Tamandua tetradactyla: one gene and its partners. The protein of the gene in region 1 interacts with the protein of each later gene in a pairwise test. Links are inferred from orthologs where the notes say so. Each region holds a gene or a part of one and is shown in the gene's direction. Other genes may lie near its edges. The genes, in order: DCP1A, PNRC2 and RITA1.

The links.
Region 2: the proteins of DCP1A (region 1) and PNRC2 interact in binary tests that used the Homo sapiens proteins (3 or more experiments, as listed by UniProt). The link is inferred for Tamandua tetradactyla from reciprocal best matches to the Homo sapiens genes DCP1A and PNRC2.
Region 3: the proteins of DCP1A (region 1) and RITA1 interact in binary tests that used the Homo sapiens proteins (3 or more experiments, as listed by UniProt). The two-hybrid records come from large-scale screens. The link is inferred for Tamandua tetradactyla from reciprocal best matches to the Homo sapiens genes DCP1A and RITA1.

The regions. Positions count from the first base shown.
Region 1 is NC_135341.1:32,330,718-32,337,898, forward strand, and holds the start of DCP1A (mRNA-decapping enzyme 1A), read left to right. Parts: upstream 1-4,089; 5' UTR 4,090-4,446; coding exon 4,447-4,686; intron 4,687-6,176; exon of another isoform or gene 6,177-6,297; intron 6,298-7,161; coding exon 7,162-7,181. UniProt on the Homo sapiens protein: Necessary for the degradation of mRNAs, both in normal mRNA turnover and in nonsense-mediated mRNA decay. Removes the 7-methyl guanine cap structure from mRNA molecules, yielding a 5'-phosphorylated mRNA fragment and 7m-GDP.
Region 2 is NC_135328.1:202,314,022-202,321,942, reverse strand, and holds the start of PNRC2 (proline-rich nuclear receptor coactivator 2), read left to right. Parts: upstream 1-4,896; 5' UTR 4,897-5,212; intron 5,213-6,197; 5' UTR 6,198-6,403; intron 6,404-6,732; 5' UTR 6,733-6,750; coding exon 6,751-7,158; 3' UTR 7,159-7,921. UniProt on the Homo sapiens protein: Involved in nonsense-mediated mRNA decay (NMD) by acting as a bridge between the mRNA decapping complex and the NMD machinery. May act by targeting the NMD machinery to the P-body and recruiting the decapping machinery to aberrant mRNAs.
Region 3 is NC_135331.1:13,850,834-13,858,388, forward strand, and holds the start of RITA1 (RBPJ-interacting and tubulin-associated protein 1), read left to right. Parts: upstream 1-4,531; 5' UTR 4,532-4,648; exon of another isoform or gene 4,649-4,795; intron 4,796-4,971; 5' UTR 4,972-5,109; intron 5,110-5,534; 5' UTR 5,535-5,610; coding exon 5,611-5,900; intron 5,901-7,555. Other genes in the region: ATP-dependent RNA helicase DDX54, read right to left, coding at 96-284, 885-955, 1,766-1,892, 4,160-4,333. UniProt on the Homo sapiens protein: Tubulin-binding protein that acts as a negative regulator of Notch signaling pathway.

The DNA.
Region 1 (7,181 bases):
CCCCTTCCTCAACTCTCTTGCATGGATTTAAAGGAGTTGGGTTTTAAGACAAAATTCATTCAGTGAATTTACTGAGGGTCTACTTTATGTGATAGGTGCTGGAGACCTAACAGGCGAAAATACAGTCTTTGCCTTCTCAGAGCTAATTGTCTAAAAGACACAAGAAAGACCTTAAGGCCCAATTCACAAACATAAGGCAAAATTAGGCCTCAAGGTAAATGAGGATGGTTTTCAATTCCAAAATATTCACTTCGTCTTTAATATATCTAAGAGCTACAGCAGTAAAGGGCATGAAAGTCAATATTAACATGTTCGGGGCCATGCAAACATGCTTTGTGAAGTGACTTTTTATTCAAAATATGAAAACCCCCTAAAATAGCTGGGTATTCTTCACTAGTCTAACACAACCAAAAATAGTAAATAAAAAGAAAATGTCATATTTTAAGAAATTCGTGTGAGAAAAAAAGTATTCTGTTTCAGATATGCCTTTTGAAATTTGTACCAGTGAATGTATTACCTATTCAAAAAATACACATTTGTAAAAAAATAGGATACAGATTCGTGAAACCCTTGATTGAAGGCAGGTAAAAGGGTATAGGGCAACTGCTTCTTGTCACTGTGAGGAAGAAAGGCAACTTGGGAGTAGCGGAAAGGAACCTAGGGTAGAAGGCAGGGGCCCTGAGATTCTATCACTGGATGCCTTCTGATTAGTGTGTCACTTTGAGCCAATGATTTCTCCTCTAGGGCCTCAATTAAATAATCTGTCAGTCATTATGCTGAGTGAGATTAGCCAGAAACAAAAGGACAAATACTGTATGGTCTCACAGATATGAACTGACATTAATGAATGAACTTGAAGAATTTCAGTTAAGAGCAGAGGTCACTAGGAGCTAGAAACAGGATAGATGTTGGGTAACTGGAGCTGAAGGGATACAGACTGTGCAACAGGACTGATTGTAAAAATTCAGAAATGGATAGCACAATACTACCTGATCGAAGCACAATAATGTTAGTACACTGAATGAAGCTGAATGTGAGAATGATAGAGGGAGAAGGGCTGGGGGCACAAATGAAACCAGAAGGAAAGATACACGATAAAAACTGAGATGGTATAATCTAGGAATACCTAGAGTGTATAATGATAGTGACTAAATGTACAAATTTTAAAAAGTTTTTGCATGAGGAAGAACAAAGGAATGTCAATATTGCAGGGTACTGAAAATAGGTGGTCATTCATATTTTAAAACTTCAACTTCTGTGTAAGACTAAAGCAAAAAAATGTTTATTTGGTACAAAATTTATATTTTGACTAGCACATTTCCTAATATAACCTATATAGACAGGTTAATTGAACACCATAAGTACATGGAACCTTGAATAGGGCATGAGATTTTGTAGGTTTGTCCAATGTGATGCCCCAAGAAATTACAGAGTAATTTAACAGTGAATAAAAAAGTACTTGCGAAGTCCCCTTGGGGGAATGGTGAGAAAGAGCAGAAATTCAACTTCCCCATTTGGAGAATTCCTGATATTGTCGCAAGCAGTCGGGACAACCAAATCAATAGGCTGAGTCCTCAATCTTGGGGTCTGTTCATATGAAGCTTATCCCCACAAAGGATAGGCTAAACCTACTTAAAATTAGGCCTAGGAGTCACCCCCAGAGAACCTCTTTTGTTGCTCAGATGTGGCTTCTCTCTCGCAACCAACATGGCAAGCAAACTCACTGCCCTCCCCGTCTCTACCTAGGGCATAACTCCCAGGGGTGTAAACCTTCCTGGCAACGTGGGAAAGAAATCCTAGAATGAGCTGAGACTCAGCATCAAGGGATTGAGAAAACCTTCCCGACCAAAAGGGGGAAGAGAGAAATGAGACAAAATAAAGGGTCAGTGGCTGAGAGATTTCAGAGTCAAGAGGTTATCCTGGAGGTTATTCTTACACATTATATAGATATCCCAATCTAATTTAAGGTGTATTACAGAGGCTAGAGGGAAGTGCCTGAAACTGCAGAGCTGTGTTCCAGTAGCCATGTCTTAAAGATGATTGTATAATGATAGAGCTTTCACAATGTGGCTATGTGATGGTGAAAACCTGTGTCTAAAGCTCCTTTTATCTATGGTATGGACAAATGAGTAAAAAATATGAATTAAAAATAAATAAATAATGGGAACAAATGTTAAAACTAATTGAGTTGATTGAAATACTAGTGATCAATGAAAGGGAGTGGTAAGGGGTTGTGCTGGTTTGAAAGGAAGCATGCCCCCTAAGAAAAAGCCATGTTTTAATACAAATCCCATTTCATAAAGGTAGAATAATCTCTATTCAATACTGTATGTTTGAAACTGTAATGAGATCATTGCCCTGGTTGATGTGATTTAGTCAAGAATGGTTGTTAAACTGGATTAGGGGATGACAGTCTCCACCCATTTGAGTGGGTCTTGATTGGTTTACTGGAGTCCTATAAAAGAGAAAACATTTTGGAGAAAGAGATTGAGAGAGAGCAGAGAATGCTGCAGCACCACAAAGCAGAGAGTCCACGAGCCATCGACCCTTGGAGATGAAGAAGGAAAATGCCTCCCAGGGAGCTTCATGAAACAGGAAGCCAGGAGAGAAAGTGGAGATTGATGCCTTGCTTGCCATGTGCCCTTCCAGCCAAGAGAGAAACTGACTGTGTTCGCCATGTGCCTTTCCAGATGAGAGAGAAACCCTGAACTTCATCGACCTTCTTGAACCAAGGTATCCTTCCCTGGATGCCTTTAATTGGTCATTTCTATAGACCTGTTTTAATTGGACATTTTCTCAGCCTTAGAACTATAAACTAGCAACTCATTAAATTTCCCTTGTTAAAAGCCATTCCATTTCTGTTATATTGCATTCCAGCAGCTAGCAAACTAGAACAGGGGTATAGAAAAAAAGTAGGGGGAACAAAGGTTAAAATATATTGGGTAGATGGAAATATTAGGGGTCAATGGAAGGGAGGAGTAAGGGGTATGATACTATGATTTTTTTCTTTTTTCTTCTTATTTCTGTTTCTGGAGTGATGCAAACGTTCTAAAAAATGATCATGGTGATGAATATACTACTATGTGATGGTATTGTGAGGCACTGATTGTACACCATGTATGGAATGTTTGTATGTTAAGAATGTTCGTGTTTGTACATTGTTTTGGCTTGTCAATTAAAAAAAATAAATAACACTAATAATCTGTCAGTGAGGATGACCACATTTTCCCCAACTCAGCACTGAGCTGTTAAATGAAATGAAAGGGAGTCCTTACCTTTCTTCACTGGCACTCCAATGCAAACATCATTTCTTCCATGAAGCCTTCTTATATTGCCAGGCTAGATGGAGTTAGTGGCTCCATCCTCTGTGTTTCAGAAAAGTCTCTAGCATTAATTATCCCTGTTTCCTTGCTTTGTTCTACTTCTTTCATTTCTCCCACACCCAGGAGGTTGTCAATAGACTTTGGAGCTCCCAAGGGAGCCAGTCCACAACTGGGAGTTCAATAAATACTTGCTTAATGAAGGGTGACTGAGCGATACTCTCCTTGGCCTCATCTGTGCTTCTTATATGATTTTGTACAGAATGTAAGACATAGAGCCTCTTTCGATTAATACATACTCCTAGGATGTAAAATCATAAACACATACATATTTTATAGTGTTATTTTAATGAAATTATGGATTTTTAAAATTTCGAATGTTTTGCTTAACTCTGTTAGCGTATCTTTTAAAATTTAAGAAAAAATGTTGCTTTTAAACAAGTCTGTGGGGACAAGAGCTCACTGTGGTCTCTGGACTTAGTTTTACTTTTTCACTATCAACAACATCTGCCTCTTTAAAATGCCTCAGAATTTTCAACAGATATTTGCCAAAACAATGAGTGGTATTTTTAATCCTTTTAAATGATGCACAACTCAGGCCTTCATGGGGCCCTTCCAGGACCGGATAGAAATATTTACGCGAGACTCAGACAAGAGAAAAGAGGAAGCGAAAGTGGGCAGCAATAAAAACGTCTATGAAGTTTCAGGTGAGTTACTTTTTTCAAATATCTCCTTCAGAAAACAGCAGATTGTAAACGGTGACGATCTGGTGAGATTTGGGGTAATTTTCGGGGTCTCCCGCGTCCCCTGTCTTTCGGTGCTTTCTAAACGTGTGGCGTCCCCCATTCTCGCTGCTGCGTCCCTCGCGCGAGAGCCGGAGGCGGGCTGGGGTGAGTCTCGGATCCCCTCCGGCAGGAACCCTGAAACGCGCAGGAACCCCGGATCTTGGTGCAGGGACGTTTATGCTCGCGGAAAAGAACCGCCCGGGAATCCGGCCGCGAGTTCAGACGCTGTACAGCGGACGTCGGTCGGGCTGGGCAGGGAGAACCTGAACATGCCGGAACCTGGCAGCCGAAGTGCGCGGGCAGCGGAACACAGTGATTGCACCCCGCAACACCACAATTAGATGCGGAAGTCGAAGGTACTGACGCACCTGGGGAACTTTGCCTCGATGGCACCTTCCGGTCCTCGACTCCGCCCCCACCGGAGGGGCTCGGCTCCGGGATTCAAGATGGAGTCGCTGAGTCGAGCTGGGCAGGAGATGAGCCTGGCGGCTCTGAAGCGACACGACCCCTATATCACCAGCATCGCAGACCTCACGGGACAGGTTGCTCTATACACCTTCTGCCCCAAGGCCAACCAGTGGGTGAGTGTAGTCCGGCCACGGAAAACGGCCGCTCGGCCGCCACCGACTCTTAAAGGGGCCGCGCGGGCCGCCATAGTGGTGGGGGGTCGAGGGGGTGCGATAAGGGAGGTGAGGGTGGCGTGAGCTAGGTCAGGGACTAGTGAAGTTCGCGATCGGAGCCGAAATCGTGTCAGGACCTCCTGGGGCTGTGGGGAGAGGAGCGAGGAAAGTAGGCCCAAGACATCCCGGGGAAAAGAAGCTGGAGGGAAGGGTTAGCGCAGGGTCGAGTTCCTTTGGGTCAGGGCCGGGGTCGTGGTCAGCCTGTCTTCTTTGAGGATGTGTGGGGTGATAGAAGACCAGTGGAATCAGAGGGGTACCTGAAAGCTTGTCTCTGAGGCTTTAAGGGATATTAAGTAATTTACGTATACTTGATACATAAACACCCCTTTCCTATTCACAACATGCAAAAATGGAAGTCCCCTCTGCAAAGGACATTTAGATTTAAAGCTTGAAATCCAGTTAGTTTCAATTCTTGGAAGAGGAGAGTAGGAGTGAGTCCGGATTTAATGCAACTATACTGTATTTCCAAAGTTTGGGGAAAGATTTCAAGACAAGAAAAGGGCTCCATGTTATCTGGGTCGCCTTGAGACTTTTGGAGCGCCTGTAAATATGTTTAGTTCCAGCTGTGAGATGCTGGTGATGTCACCTCTGAGTGCTCCTGTCAGATTAAGTACATTTTGACTTCTTTGTACGGGAGAAGGTCCGAAAGGTTGCATTCAATCTGTTAACTGACCTTTCTTCGCCTCTGCTTGAAGTTTGTAGTTTAATTATTTGTTTTCTTCTAATTGATCGACTCAGTTATAGACTTGAAACTTAGAAAAAGTTTGTGTTTCTTACAAACATCTGTAGCTGACATTCATATCTTCAAATAAAAATAAGACCCTACACTAACAAAAATCTGAAGGATTATCACTGTAATATGCCCCTTACAGTATAGTACTGCTGCATGGATTATAGTTACCAGTAATTTTGTGAAAATCATTTGGCAGTTGACAATTTTAAACAGTTAATTGGGAAGAAGAGAGTTTTCAAAATCTTGCTTTAGTTTATTTTATTTCATGCACCTTCTGGAAGGGATGGAGGTTGTTCTTTTTGCCTCAAAGAACAAAATTCTAGTCCCCCCCCCCCCCCAAGGAGTAGTTGTTGTAGACATTGCCTTAGTTTGAATTGTTGTGAATCATTTTTCTTTTCTTAGCCTGCGTATAAATTTGTGGTCGGGTGCAAATGTGAATCGTGGACAAATGGTGAAGACTTGGGGCTGGAATTTTTCATTAACGAACTTTTATTTCTAGTCTTCACAAAGATTTTCAGTACTTTGAAATTTTAATTGTGGATTTCTGTTTTAAATATGAAATACAAACTATAATAACCTGGATTTAAAAATAAGCTGCCATTGTTTATTGGAATCATGGCACACGGAATATAACCAAAATCTTTTCTTTGTTTACTAGTAGGTCGTAACTTGCACAATGGAGTAAATGAGCAAGTTTTCTTTTACTGTAAGACAGTAAAAAAAATCCTTGAGAAAATTCATGATGATTTAAGCTAGGACAAAACTGGAAAAAAATCAAGGTGATAAATTTTTTTATCCCAAAAAATTCAGTTTGGTGTGACTAATATGTAAAGTTTTTCTAATAATTTGTTGATTACATTAAAATATTTAATTTAACCTGCATTGTGAACTGCAGACTTATATGGTTATTTTTTGTTTAAACACTGTAACTGTGTTTAAAACCAAAATACACTCTTGTCCAAGCAAATGAAGATAGTAATGAGTTGTACTTCCTTAAAACATTTTCACTTTAAGCTAAAGAAAATTTTAGATTATTTGTTAGAGGTATAATTACATCATAGTCTCAATATTCATCATTGTTCAACAAAGTTCTAAGAATAGCAAACTGTGTTTCACAGTAATTCTTAACTAACCAGGAGATTTGTTGCTCATGAAAATATATCAAAATCTCCCAATAATGAAACAAAGTATCCTATAAACTAAAAAAGTTCTCTTTTTTTCTAGCTTTGATAAACTGTAAAAGTGAAGAACTCCTGTACACAGGACCTTGGCTTTAAGATGAAGAAATCTGGCTAAAATATTTTGGCTAAAATGTTTACCTAAAAAAATTATAGAAGTGAAAACTAATTCTATTATATTCTTCTTTAAAAGCTAAAAAAGAAAAAATGCTGCAGAAACAGACTTGTTGCTAGATGAACATTGCTTATTGCATCAATCACATTGAAAGAATACATACGAAACTGGTGACCGTATTTGGTGGAATGAGAAGGAGACTTATTTCACTTGTCCAAAAGTGGTTAATTTTTTAATAAATAAAGTAGTTTATCTGAAACATGAAGTGTTGCTTCCCTGTTGGGGCTCTTTGGGGTTGGATTATGAGAAGGGGGGGAGACAACTACTAATTGACTCATTGTCTGTTATAGGAGAAGACTGATATAGAAGG
Region 2 (7,921 bases), on another chromosome or scaffold:
CCTTAGAAAATAGTTTTCAACCAGAGTGAGAAACTGGAATCACCTGAGAAGCTTTAAAAACACCAACTACCCAAGCTCCCACCCCCGAAGATTCTGCTTTAATTGCTCTGGTGTGGGACCTGGGCATCAGAATTGCTTAGGCACCCAGAGGAAGTTAAAAACTTGTAGGTCAGAGTCACAGGACATGTGGGAGTTTAGCATTGACTTCCGGTACCCCATTTAGTAACTAGAATAAAAGGGCTGCACACAGATTTGCAATAGCTCAGGAATGTGTGTACAAGTCAGAACACGCAGCAGATGCTTCTCCAGGAAACAAATTCATGATGTGTGAAGGGGTGTGTGTTTTGATACCAGTTTGGCAAAAAGATCAGGGTGCTAAGGCACGTCAAAACATCAGGTAGGTGTTTTACTTGATCCTTTTGATAGGTTCCAAGTTGCTTGATTTGAACAAGCCATAAGCTAACAGACCTGCAAACATTCAAAGTTGACACACATTGAACTCATAGATGAGCCTTAGGAAGCAAAAGAGCGAAACCAGCTTTTGTTTTGAAATAGACACGCTGGAGAGAAATGAGCCAGTCTGAAAGCTTGTCAGCCCTGGGTGATTGCCCCCAAAAGCCCAGGTACTCATGGGGTCTAAAATACAATAAGCATCAGCATATATATAACTTGTCCATCCTTCAAAGTCAAGTTTCAGAAATACTTTCTTTTTGCCTGCCCCCACCCCCACCCCCACTCCCACTCCTATTTACAGGCTGGGTAGGTAATGTTTACTTAAAAGTTTTGACAGATTTTATTGATCATGGCTCCTCACCCACTGATACTTAATTTAAAACAGATTCTTCCATGGTAAAAAATTTCAGCAAATGTGGGAATCTTCTCTTTCTCCCCTCCATTCTGCAGGGTTCCGTTTCATTATAACTTGTACCTTACTAAGTGGTGGGTGTTGGGGATTCTTAGTATATGGATTTTTATGCCCACAATTGGCATTGCCTGTTTTCAGTCTCAGGGGAACTGAGGGAATGAATCTCCCCATCATACTAGCTTCCTTCTATGATAAATACTAAAGGAAACATTTTTTTAAGTTCCTTTAGGACCCTGATGGAGCCTTGTTTGTGTCCCCAAGGCTTGGGAAAGTGCCTGGCACAAAATAGGCACCACATAACTCTTTGTTAAATACATACTTTATATTAAGTACTCATGTATTTATTATGCATTTATCTCCCCATGTTGGTGGCTGATCAGCATCCTGACAGCTGTTTGTTTGCATCAACATTTTCCTATTTGAACCACGAACCATGAATTGGATCCTGTTAGTGCAACTACCTTTAAAGATTGGCCTGGTTAAAAAGTTGAAAAAGTAATGAGACTTTGACTAGAGATATGGATGAAGCTGATCTGGTTAGGACTAAGGTAAATCAGAATACAGGGTAAAGGGTGATATGGTCCATATTTAAGACTTCAACTTCTGTGCGAGACCAAAGGGAGAGATGTTTATTTGATGCAAAATTTATATTTTGGGTAGTGTATTACCTAATTCAATTTGTATGGACAGTTTACTTGAACACCATAAGTACAGGGAATCTTGAATAGGGTGTGAGATTTTGTCGGTTTGTCCAGGTTAGTGTGATACCCTGATATATCCCAGAGTAATTTGGGCAATGAATAAAAAAGTATTTGCAAAGTCCCCTTGGGGGATTGGGGAGAAAGGATGAAATATTCAACTTTCCCATTTGGAGAATTCCTGATATTCTTGCAAGCAGGGAGGACAACCAATCAATAGACCAAGCCCTCAATCAACAAATGCGGGAATCTTCTCTTTCACCCCTATAAAACTTATTCTTGCAAAGTATAAGCTAAGCCTGCTTATAATTATGCCTAAGAGTCACCCCCAGAGAACCACTTTTGTTGCTCAGATGTGGCCTCTCTCTCTAAGCCACCTTGGCAGGTGAACTCACTGCCCTCCCCCCTATGTGGGACATGACTCCGAGGGGTGTAAATCTCCTTGGCAATGTGGGACAGAATTCCTGGGATGAGCCGGGATTGAAAAAGCCTTCTTGACCAAAAGGGGGAAGAGAGAAATGAGACAAAGTTTCAGAGGCTGAGAGATTTCATACAGAGTTGTGAAGTTGTCCTGGAGGTTATTCTTACACATTATATAGACATCCCTTTTTAGTTAGTAGTGTGTTGGGGTGGCTAGAGGGAAGTACCTGAAACTGTTGCGCTGTGTTCCAGTAGCCTTGATTCTTGAAGATAATTGTATAATGATATAGATTTTATAACGTGTGTGATTATGAAAACCTTGTGTCTGATGCTCCTTTTCTCCAGGGTATGGACAAATGAGTTAAAAAAATATATATATGGATAATAAATAAATAATAGGGGGGTTAAAGGGTAAAATAAATTGGATAGATTGAAATACTAGTGGTCAATGAGAGGGAGGGGTAAGGGGTATGGGATATATGTTTTACTTTTTTTCTGGAGCGAGACAAATGTTCTAAAAATGATCGTGGTGATGAATACACAACTATGTGATAATATTGTGAGCCACTGATTGTACACCATGTATGGACAGTATGTACGTGAGATTTCTCAATTAAAAAAAAAATAAAAAAAAGACCAGCCTGCGACAAGCAGAGGCTCTATCAGATGTTCTGAAGAGGGTTTTACTTGAACTGCTGTTCTCCAGTACTGGGCTATTGGGGGTTCTTGCGAAAGATTAATGAATGATGAGGCTGGTGCTATGCTTAGCAGGTGCTCACAGTCTGGGAGTCAGTAAGGGCTTTGGAAGCGTTCTCCCCAGGGCAGCCTGACTCGGCTCTTTTGGCAGAGAACTTGGTCCAACCCGGCTGCAGGGTGGGGCCCTGATACTGCCCTAGCAGCCCGGGCAACCCCGTCAACGTTCAGTCAGTGCCTGGTCTGGACAAAGCCCGGCTGAGCTACAGGAGAACAAAGATGCTGTAGGGAACATGGAAGCTGGACTCTGGAGTCTTGGGGTGTGGCTCCCAGCTTTAAACTGTCTGAGCATCAGATTCTTTTTCTGAACAGTGGAGATCAAAATAGTACTCACCCCAAATGGTTTTTGTGAGAATTAAATGAGATATAAGCAAAACCATATAGGGCAGGGCTTAGGGCAGAGTAAGTATTCAAAATGTCTGGTTATACAGATAAGATTCAGAGGTCTACTGAAGAAATGAAAGACGAATTTCAGATGGTGATGGCTTTGAATAATTTTCTAAATGTTTGGAGTTTAGACTTTATTCTAGAATACAGAACATTTGAAACAAACTGGAATGAATTTTAAATTGTTAACACATTCAGCTGGATGGAGGGGTAGGGAGAAACCAGAAGGGGTGTGAGTATAGAGGGAGTAAATTTGAAAGACATATTTTGATGTTGATAAAAAAGGAATTAGGAAAAAATGTGCAGACTGAAACAGACTATTTTACAAGGCATTATATTAAAATATATATTCTAAGGGCATTTCCTGAGATCAAAGTCTTGAACCCATTAAACACGCCATTGCTATTATCTGGCTGGATATCTAAATAAGATTCCAGAATTTCTGAGAAATACATTACAGTGAGCTAGCAGCTGATTTGCCATGTACACCTTATTTGACTATAATATAATTAGAGCCAGAAAGTCCCCCTACCCCAAAATAACTGTTCATTTGATTAATGAATTCCTCTTTAAGGTACAGTAACTCTTCTTAAGATCCACAGCTAGAACACGGGGTTTTGTGTTGGGTTGGTGGATAAGAGGTGATAGTAGCAAAAAAATTAAAGATTAAAACACAAATTACGTGGGATTTATAAAAGGTCAGTATATATAAATTATGTAACAAAAAAGTTCACAGATGTATGAACTGCGAGTGTAAAGGTAAGGATTTTGGACCATTTATCCCAGAATTATTCATACAAATAGAAGTTAGGGTCCTCTTTTAAAACAGTTTGGGTTGCTTATACATTTACTCCAAAGAAGTTGTCCTTTCCCCTTCCCTGCACCTCACTGTTACGTTCAGCTGAGTGACATATCTTCTGATCTCTTTTTCAAGTAAAAACGGGACAGAAGGGGAAATAAGGGAGGTCACGTTTTCTCAGCAAACCTTTATAGTGCATTTACAGTGAGCGGGGACACTGTGCTAAAACACACACACACACACACAAAACAAAAAACAAAAACTTGGGTTTGCTCCTCGAAGGGTATATGCAGATGTGTTGGGGGGTCGGGGAGCCAGGTGGATACACACCGTTGCAAGAACAATAAGGTGCGATAAAAAGGTAAGGAACAGTGGGGACACAAAGAAGGGACTGATAACCTTGTGTGCATGAGTCAAACGCCTTCACAGTGGAGGTAACTTGGGGGTAACTGCGAGCAGAGGGAACCGCGTGCTCTGGGACTGGCAAAGAAGCTCCCAGAACCGAGGGAAAGGACGAAGACAAGTGTCCCGAGCAAAGGCCGGACACGCGGACTGGGGCTCGGTCATGGAAAACTTTTTTTGTATGTTTTCCATATATAAAAAAATAGGTTACATGGCTGAGTGCACTTAACTAGGGAACCAACTAACCATCCCTCAGTCACTCCTCATGGGGGTTAGTGGAAAAACAGGCGCGCCGAATGGTCAGGGCGGCGGCGCCCGCGAGGGAAGCAGACGCTGAGGGGCCTCTCCAGGCGCGAGCGCCCACCGAGGGCAAAGCGCGGCCCTTGGGCTGCGCCCGGCGTCCGGACGGCGGCGTCGAGGCCTCAGAAAGGCGCCGCGAGAACCCGGCGGTCGTACCCCGGGCTGCGGGCAAGGCAGCGAGCAGCCGGCGGGAAGGGAAGCGGCAACCGCTACGGTAGGGAGCAGTTATTCCCGACATGCTCCTCTCGGGAAAGATTTCAAACCCTCGGCAACAACCACCTCTCCTCCCTCATTCCAGTCCTGCCCCAGCAACAGGCGGCTGCCCGCTCCTCATTGGCTCAACCCCACACCCTCGAGTCTCGATTGGCCGCGAAGCCTCCCGCCCCTCTCTTGCGCCTGCCTGGGTATCCATTTTGTCGGTAGAGGCAGAAAGGGGTGGTCTGGTCGTCCGACACTGTGGTATTCAGCAGGTAGTTGGTCGGTGCTGTCGGGCTTTGCTCGTTCCTTGCCTCGTCTCTCCCTGGAAGGGGAGTGAGGCTTCATCACCTAATAGGATCCGCTGCTGTCGCAGTCTTGAGCTTGAAGTCGGTGAGTAGTGGTGTCGCCGCGGGTGCGGCCATGTTGGTGCCTGCGCTCCCCATTGTTGGGACAAGGAGGCGAGTAGAGAGACGCTTGGAACCCGGGCGGCCGGGAGGGACGCGGCCCGTGGGTTGGGGCTCGAGAAAGGTGGAGCTACTTGGAAGCCAAGCTCCGCATCGAAAGACCCGAGTTTTCCGGGTTCGACTTGTAAATGCCGCAGTGTCTGGGAATCGTAGTTTATTATAGAGTTATAAAAAATGCCTGGAAGGCTGTCTTAACTCTTGAAAAGAAAGGGACTTCTTATTTGTTGGTTAATTTGGTTTCATGGTATATTAAATGAAAAAATGAAACCTGCAATGTTAAATGGTCCCAGTAGGGAGGTATATTTACGTTTTTGAAGATTGAAAACCGTTTTAGATTGTTTTGCTTTTGAATACTTATTTTAAAAGCAGTGGGAGTCTAGTGTGTTCATAAGCAAAGGAAACACTGATGTAGACATGTTGAAAGAGGTTTTGTGTAAAATTCGGATTTGTGGATAAGCTTGTTTTTCTTAGGGGAGGTAATAAAGGGTATGCATTTATGTTGAGTGTTGAAAGACTGGAGAATTCTGGTGGGCTTTAACATCTTACTCACTTTGGGAAGTTAACATTAAGCCAATTTCTTGGTAGGAGTGTTAAGGCTAACACTTTCCAACTTTGACTTGAACGTTTCCGGTCACAAAATCCTTGTGAGAATCTTAAAAGGCACTTCCCAGGGAAAAAGATACACAAACAGAACTTAACTGCTTGACTTACAGACACTCTTTTAAGAATTCTCCAGGGGGGTCCTAGATCTCGAAGAGAAGAGTTCATGATAGTAGTTACAAAATCAAAGAAAGCCATTTTAGGGGAACATATTTTCTACTTCTAAGGAAATAGGCCATCCTTTACAATTATTTCTGTAATATAAATGACCACTTTTTCCTACTGAATTTAAGTAATCTTTGCTTTTCTAGCTAAGACTTCTCTCAAACTTGTGTGCTGAGGAAACTCAGATGTTGGCCTCAGCTCCTAGGCTGAACTCAGCAGATCGGCCCATGAAAACTTCTGTATTCAAACAAAGGAAAGGATCTGTCAGAAGGCAACACCTGTTATCCTGGGCTTGGCAGCAAGGAAGGGGACTGGTAGTGGAAATCCTGCAATCTGAAAAGCAGACTGAAAGGTACAAAAATTAGAGAATTATATTGGGCAGACATTTTAGCTGAACTCAAATCCTAAACCAATTGCTTTCATTTTAAAATAGAGGGTTATTCGGATTTGTGGATAAGCTTATTTTTCTTAGGGGAGGTAATAAAGGGTATGCATTTAATGAATTCTGAATACCCTCCTTTAACTTGAGTTAAAGCAGCTAATAATTTAGGCCCCCAAGACTTCAGAATTACAAATTGGGGCTATAGCAGCTTTCCCCCCCCCCTTTTTAAAATAAAAATAAAAAACAACTGTGAACTTAATGGAATTTTACTCAGTATTTTGTTTTCCATTAATTTGCAGGTGACAAAGAACCTGAAGATGGGTGGTGGAGAGAGGTATAATATTCCAGTTCCCCAATCTAGAAATGTTAGTAAGAACCAACAACAACATAATAGACAGAAGACCAAGGACCAGAATTCCCAGATGAAGATTGTTCATAAGAAAAAAGAAAGAGGACATAGTTATAACTCATCAGCAGCTGCATGGCAGGCCATGCAAAATGGGGGGAAGAACAAAGTACATTTTCCAAATAATCAGAATTGGAATTCCAGCTTACTTTTTAAATCTCAAACTAGTCAGAACTATGCTGGAGCCAAATTTAGTGAGCCACCATCACCAAGTGTTCTTCCTAAACCACCAAGCCACTGGGTTCCTGTTTCCTTTAATCCTTCTGATAAGGAAATAATGACATTTCAACTTAAAACCTTACTTAAAGTGCAGGTATAAAATACTAATGTTTAAATTTAGGCATCACATTTAAGACTAGTCAGTTGGTCTGAAACATTCATCTATTTTATATTTGTGTAAAACCGCTAATGTAGAAAATATGAATAGATTTTATCTCACTTGTTTTGTGTGTTGTGGGCACTATGAGGTAATGGTACTATCAGTGCAACTTAAAATAATTTGTTGATTGCACTTGACGTTCTTAATTGATAAAGAAGTGAAACCATGTATGTTTAGATTTAGAAAACAACAAAGGAATCTTTTTCGGATGCTTTTTTTGGGAATTATCATACATGGAATAGATTTACTTGTTGAAAGCTAGTCAATCAGATTCCAGACATCTAGCTAAGATCATACAGAGATCAAGAACTAGTGAAATACTTGAAAGTTTAATGTCCTACAAACACCTGAACAAGTACCAACAACTTGATGCACTGCCAAGAGAAAATGTGAATTTTCCTTAATGAGTAGTGAAGTACATTGTAGTAAATTTTACAGTGGTTCATGTGGAAAGGGCACTTGGGGGCTTACTAGAATGAGGTGCACTACGCCCCAATGGCCCTGTTCTCACATACAGTGAATAGGTGTCTGCCAGTAAATGCTCCCAAACCATTTTTCATAGAAACAGTATTTGGTGGTCACTGAGTAGCTTTCAAAATACATTTTCTGTATTCTGTACAAACTTGACAGTGAGTGATCTGGCCTCAAATCATCCTTGTAGAGGTTGGCGCTAAGTGGGGAATTGTATAATGTGAGTTTTATG
Region 3 (7,555 bases), on another chromosome or scaffold:
AGAGGGCGGGGAGGGTGAGGTGGCCCGGCCCACTCCCGGCCCCCTGTCCTGCGCTGGCTCCAGCTCAGCCCCAGCTGCCCCGGCCCCTGAGGCACCTCCTTGGTGAACTTCATGGTCTGCAGGGCCAGCTCGCGGGTGGGCGAGAGGATGAGGGCGCGGGCCCCAGTCTGGGCACTGCGGGTCTTGAGCCGCTCGAACATGGGGATGAGGAAGCAGGCTGTCTTGCCGCTGCCCGTTCGGGCCATGGCCACCACGTCCTTGCCGTCCAGGATCACCGGGATGGTCTGGAGACGGGCAAGTGCAGGGGCTGGGTGGTGCCCAGAGGCCTTGACCACACACCCGAGTGCTGCCCAATCCAGTCTCCAGCCCCTGGGGACGGCAGACTACGGGATCTCAGGCTGCCACCCAGCCCAGTTCCCACTCTTACAAGAGCTTGTTTGTGCATCTGGGATGAGGGCACCACCCCCAATGTCTCCTCAGGGGGCACATCCTTCCTCAGAAGTCACGCCAACCTCCTGGACTAATCATTTCCCTTGGGGCCCCAGAGGAATGGGTGGTGATGCCGGGGCAGCGGCTCAGCAGTGGGCAGCCCGGGGAGGTGTGACTGGCACAGAAGCCTGGCTTCGCTCACCTGTGGAGTGAGTGAGCTCTGGGCTTCAACCAGGGTAAGAGGGGATGTAGGTGTAATGGCTGGGGCGAGGGGTGGCTGTCAGGAGGCCACCTGGAGGGCCACGGTGGCTCAGCAGGTAAGAGTGCTTGCCTGCCATGCCCGAGGACCCGAGTTCAATCCCCGGTGCCTGCCCATGTAAAAAAAAAAAAGAGGCCACCTGGAAGGGTCAGATCCCTTTCCTCCCCGTCCCTCCCGGGTAGGTCCCACTCTGTACCTTCCTCTGGATGGGCGTCGGCACCTTGTAGCCCTTTTTCATGATGCCCTTGAACACCGGGTAGCTCAAGCCTGGGAAAGACACGGGGAGGGTCAGGGGCTGGGGGCACCCCCGTGGCCGTGCCACTTCCCCAGTGGGGTAACTTAAGTGAGTCTGTCCCTGCCTCAGTGTCCCCATCTGTAATTTGAGATGTAGCAGTGCCTCCTAAAAGGGTTGTGAGGATTGAACAGAGGCGTTGTGTTTCAAGCAGATTATGTTCCATTATGGGTGTCTGATAAGTGTCAGCACCTTTTGCGATTAGCTCAGATACTGGGGCTGGTGGGAGAGGCCATCCTGGCGGGGCAGGGGAGAGGAGGCCGGATCAACCTCACCAGCCCCTGGGGATGCCTCAGACACTGCACCATCCGCTGTCACCCTTGAGACCCGAGAGCAGGGGCTAGCAAACTATGGCCCTCAGGCCCAAAACCAGGTCTGTTTTTGGAAATAAAGTTTTATTGGCACGCAGCCACACCCACTGGTTTGTTATCATCCGGCTGCTTCCACAGCAGTCCAGTAGGGGTGGCAGAGACACTGTGGCCTGGTACCTTACCATCTGGCCCTTTCACGAAAGCTCGTGAGCTGCTCTAGAGCCTCAGCAGGCCTTCTGTCCCCACTGGGGGCACCCTCAGTCCCACTGCCACCGCTCTGCTCCTGCTGCTTCCTCTTCCTGGGCCTGTCACCACCACCACAAGGCCCTGAAAGCCTGGAGACCCTATCTGCTGCCTCGGTCTCCCCAGCACCCACCACAGTGCTGGGCCCAGGCGGGCATGGGTTCCACTGGGCGGAGGGCACAGGGACGCCCTGCTGCTGCCCTGAGGCCCCCGGGCGCCTGGCTCACCCACCCATGGACTGGAAGCCTCCGGACTTCTTCTTCTTGTTCTGGGCGCGCACCATCTCCTGGGTGTCTGGTTCCACGTCCGAGGTGCACTCCGAGCTGGGGAAGGTGGGCAGGGGTCTGCCAGGGCCTAGCTGAGAGGGAAGGACGGAGAGGCAGGGTCGTGCCAGGCACAACCAGGCCCCAGTGGGCAGGGAGGGGGCCGTCCTGATGCCAGTTCCTTCCCCATGCCAGCTAGTCGCGCTCCTCCGGGATCACGTGTCCTCCCTGCTGAAGGGCTCTCCCTGTCTGGGCCGGGCTCAAGTGGCCCGGAGGTCAGGCCATCTGCATTCGTCACTCAACAGCTGCGAGACCTCAGGCAAGTGACAGCCTCCCTGAGTCTCAATTTGCACAAATGGAAAAGAGGGAGGACAAGAGCTTCTGCCCCACAGGGGTGTTGTGACGATTAAATGGGAAAGTGGAAGTTAGGACAGCGCCTAACACACAGCGGCTGGTGGCATTATTATGAACAACATCATCGCCGTCGTCATCCTCGTCTGTTATTCAAAGTCCTCAAAATTAAAAATTTTGGTTAATCAAAACAGCTACTATGTATAAGGGACTAGACTTTTCCAAGCTGTCCTGTTCCCTAACCCAGATCCTTTCCAGCATATCACCCCCAACCAACTCTGGTCTCCTCTCAGCCTATGCAGGGCACATTCATCCTTTAAGACACAGCTAAAGCCAACCCAGATGCCTCTTCCAGGGAGTCTTCTTGGACCACCCTCTTCCTTTAAGAAATAACACTCATGGAACACTAACTGATAATAATAGCTAAAACTCACACAGCATGGACTATAAGCCAGAGGTCGCTCTCCAGTCTTCTAAATTAACTCAATCTTCACAATAAGGAAACTGAGACTTGAGAGGAGAAGTGACATGCCCACAGTCACACAGCCAGAAAGTGGGGGGAACAGGTATCTGAACTCTGGTTTGGCTCCCCCATGACCTTCTGTGACCCACCACAACCCTTAGGTCAGGGCTGCAACTGGTTTTGTACAGCCCATGAAATAAAAATGGTTTTTGCATTTTAAAGAACTGTACAAAATCAAACAAAGTAAACAGACAGATTTTGCATGGCCCCACAAAGCCTAAAATGTTTACCATCTGGCCTTTTACAGAAAAAGTCTGCCAACCCTGCTTTAGATCTTGAAAGCCAAGTGCCTACCCATGCAGAGGCCTCGCAATACTTAGGGAACCGGGAAATGAACAATCTCTGAGGCGCATATAATCATCAGCTTTCTACAGAAGTGGAAACAGTGGCACAGAGAGGTTAAGCAACTTCCCCAGTGTCCCCCAGCCAGTCCAGGGTAGGGCCAGGTTTGAATGCAGGGCTGTGCCACAACTCCTTGGATGAACCACTACAGATCCTCTTTGGCATTCACCACTTCTAACCTCCTGTGCCATGTGTCACCTTTGGCAGTTTCTCCACAAACTTTACAGGGCACTTACTTTGTGCCAGGCACTGGGGGCCTTACCTGGTCCCTGCCCTGGAAGTGTGTAAGGCCCCTCCCTGCATGTGAGCATCCACTTATCCACGTATGTACCCAGGGCCTCCTCTGTGCCAGGCACCGGCTGGCACTGGGCTCTGGGAAATACGGGGTTACAGCTCTTCTGCCCCGTTGGTGCTCACAGCTGGCACGCAGTAGTGCAAACAGCACAGGTCCTGGAACCAGACAGTCCCAGGTGTGAATCCTGGCTGTCCCACTAACAAGCTGGGTGATCTCATCAAGTTACCTAATCCCACGGGGCCTCAGTCTCCTCATCTGGAAAGTGGAACTGACAGGATTTGGCTACAGGGCTGGTGTGAGGATTAAATGATAAGGCATATAAAGGTTTTCGCACAAAGCCAGCGATCAAGAAATCTGTTTAACTGATTATGAGGCTTCCCAGGAAGCTTGATGGCTGGGGTCACCGTCTCGGGTCATGCACTCGGGCCTCCCTGTTAATAACACCTCCCAAGGGTCCCCCAAACTTGCAAAGTCAGATCTTCCGCACCCGCACTTTTCATTGGAGGAAAAGGAAGAAAGGACTCGCCCGCTGAGCAGAGGAAGCCAATGAGGGGCGCGCTACTGCTCGCAGCTCTCGGCGCTCCGAACCCAGCCCGCCAGGCCCGCAGATCCCGGGCCCAGGAATTAGGAGGCTCGGGTGGCCTGGACCCGAGGGCGCGGCAGGTCCCGAGACACGTGCTTAGGCCACGGGGCCTGCGCCCCGGTTCCCGGACATCCGGACTTCACTCCCACCCTCAGCCGCCCTCACTCCCCAGCCGGGGAAACTGAGGCATTGCTGCCCCGAGTGCCCCGATCGCGGACGCGCCGCGTCCCCGGCCCCCAACTTGCGTCCCTGCCCGCATCGTTCCCACCTTCCGGGCCCGGGCGTCATCTTCTGACTGGATCTCAAACTCGCCGTCTTCCGAGTCGCTGCCGCGGGCCTGGGAAGCCGCGCCCCGGCGCTTCCGGAGCCCCTTCTTCTTCCTCCACTGGGCCATGGCAGCTCCGGACCGAGGCCCGGCGCCCGGGCGCGCGCCGGCAGCCATGCGGGCTCGGACGCACAGGGCAGGGAGGGGCGGAGCCTGCCGGGACGTACCAACTGTGCGGTGGGCGGGGGGGGGGGGAGAGCTCTGTCTACGGCCCTGCGCGTTGTCGCCTCTGCCGGCGGCCCTAGGATGCCTGATCAACGACGCTCTCCCGGCTGACGCGGAGGGCCCCTCTCCGTGGCTTTAGGAGAGTTCGAGGACGTCGGGAACGGGACGCCTCCCCCTCATGCCCGGGCAGGAATGGTTCCGGCCGCGTCCGCCCCTGCGCGCTGGCTGTTGTCGGATGCGCGCGTCGCCAGGGCCTGGCTTCTCCGGGTGAGCGGGTCGGCCTCGCGGTCTGAGCTCCGGGCGTCCCGGCTGCGGAGTCACGCGGGCTCCGGGTGCACCGCGCGCCCCCGCAGACCCGGCCAGGCCTGAGAGGGAGGGGGCGCTGGGGGCTGTAGCCCACACCCCCGTGCTAAGGTACCCGGCTTGGAGAATAACTCCAGAATGCAGCGACCTCGGGGATTAACCAGGGTGTTGAATTGGGGAGCGAGAAATGGGGCAGAGTGGGGGCGGAGGGTAGTGGTGAGTGGGAGGAGGGTCCCCAAAAGGCTCGACTTGCGTCGGGTTTTCATTGCGTTTACGTCGCTTTCTAGGCGTGACCTACACACATGACTTCACCTTGAGAAAGAAGCTTCAGTGTTGTCGTCTGTAAAATGGATGTGATGGACGGTCCCTCACAGGGCGGCTGAGAGGATTCAATGGGGCAGTGCTCTTGCAGTGCTTTGCACGGGGTGAGCCTCCAAGCAATGTTGTCTGTCATCCCCACCCCCAGAAATACATACGGGGTATTCCAGTAGGGACCTGTCCCTTTCCCGCTCTTGCTGTGGTTAATTTGTTTCCTGGCTGGTATCAAAATGGGCATAAGACCCATTGTTTCCTTCATCCTCCCTACCCCAGACAGTCCATAAATATTGAACAATCACTGTATGTTAGGAGACAATCCCTTTTCATTCATTAGATTATCCCTGAAGTGCCCCCACTCCACATCATTATAACAACTAAAAATGCCTCCACAAGTTTCTGAAACGCCACTGGGGTTGATAGCTCGCCCTGAGAAGGACTGGTGGGGGAGAACTAGATCCTTCTGCCCTTGGGGTGGGGACCGTAGCTGGCACTGCCACTGGTTCACAGATACCACCCTGATCCCCTTTCACAGGGAGCCCTGGAGGCGGGGCTTGGCAGACAGAGCATGCCCACTGTCACCCTTGTCCAGAAGCTGCGTGAGGACCCCCATGGAGCTGGCAGTCAGTGGGATGCAGACCCTCCACCTCCAGCACTGCTGCCGAGGCAGCCACCGGGTCAAGGCCAGGGCGTCATATGTGGATGAGACTCTGTTTGGCAGCCCTGCAGGGACCCGTCCCGCTCCACCAGAGTTTGACCCACCCTGGGTGGAGAAGGCCAACAGAACCAGAGGAGTGGGTGCAGGGGCCTCACAGGCTACAGGGGCCAACAGGAGCTGTGAGACCACCCCCTCTAGGGGCAACACCCCAACCCTCACACCAAGGAAGAAGAGCAAATACAGGTAGAGGAGTGGGGAGATGTACCGTTGTGCTCGTAGCTGCTTGGGTTCCTGTACAGCCTTGCTGCTCACCTGCTGTGTGACCTTGGTCAAGTACCTTGACCTCTCTAAGCTGTAGCTTCTTCATTTAGAAATAGAACTAATCATCCTACCTCCTGGGGTGGCTGAGAGGATTAAATGAGATGAGGCATACAATCCTTGGCATTTAGGAATCTCCTTGTCCTCAAATATTCCGTGAAATGACCAAGATGTGCTATTTCTGAATTTTAGCAAGTCATTTAGAAAATGGGTCTTGCTGCATTTTCATGAACAGGCTAGAGACACAGGAGCTGATACTTGTGGTTATTGTTGCTAGTTGATCAGATTAGGACCAGACTATATAGATTCAGATTAATATCAGCCTAGTGTCTAGTGGTGAGCCACAAGGCTCTGTCCTTTTCCCTGTTATCAGTATTTGAACAGAGACACAAGACTGGCCAATTAAATTTAGGATCCATTTGGAGCCAGGAAGGACATACATCAGATAAGAGAAGTGCAGGTAGGTATGATGCCTATTAAAGGAGGTAGAATTCATCAGTGATAAAAGGAAGAATTAGTTATATCTGGTTGAGGGTGATGTGTCTGGCAGTTTCTGTGGACCACAAGGCAGTATCAGCTTGACATTAACAACACTGACTCCTATAAGAGGCCTGCAAATGCTCATGTAAATGTGAGCTACATTAACAAAAGTATGGTGGGAGGGCAAGGGAGGTGCAGTCAACCCACGCTTGACTGGAGTTTGGCATTTTGTCCTAGATTCTGACAAGGTACATTATTAAGCAAAAACTTTGGTGCTAGACAGAAGCCAGCATCAATCAGATAAGGTTTGAGCAGCTACACCAAGTGGCAGAAGGTTAGATCTTGCGGATTGGGAATGGAAGCACTTTTGGTTCACCCCTAAAACCATGGGCCTGGCACTTAGTAGTATGCTGTAAATATTTGTTGACTTAATGAAATATCGTTGCTGAGTGAATCTGACTTAAAGTGGGGGTCCACTGATTTAGTGGTTCAGCACTTGGGTCCTCGAGTCAGGCTGGATTTGAATCTAGTTTCTACAACGTTCTGCCTATGAGAAACTTACCCACGCCTCAGTTTTCTTTTCTGTAAAATGGGGTTAATCATGATACTTACCTCATATAGACGTTGATGGAAATAATTGCCTCTAAAATCTCCAGTAGGGGTGAGATGGCCACAATCTACTTTGGGACTTACATCTTGCCAGCTTTAGCAATGCCAGATGGCAGAAAACACCTCTTTCCTATTGGTTTCAGCAAAAATCATAGGGGAGCCTCTCACTGGGCAGACTTGGGTGATATGCTCATTCCTGAACCAGTCAGTGTAGACAGCAAGATGGAATAAGCTGGCTGGCCAGGCCTGGTGGCACATGCCAGGGATCGGGGCCAGAATGCAGGGGACTAGATGCTTGGGAGGGGAAAAATAACAGAGATGGGGGCAGTGGTTCATGAGAGGGCTCTGACCTCATTGTCGGTGCCAGGCTGGGAGACAGAAGCTGCTGGGCTCTACAGTCAACCCTGTCTGCTGCTGTGGGTACCTGAGGGATGTCAAGGTGTGAGGGGTCATCAACCCCCAGCTCACTGCATTTCCCTTTTGTTTGCCAG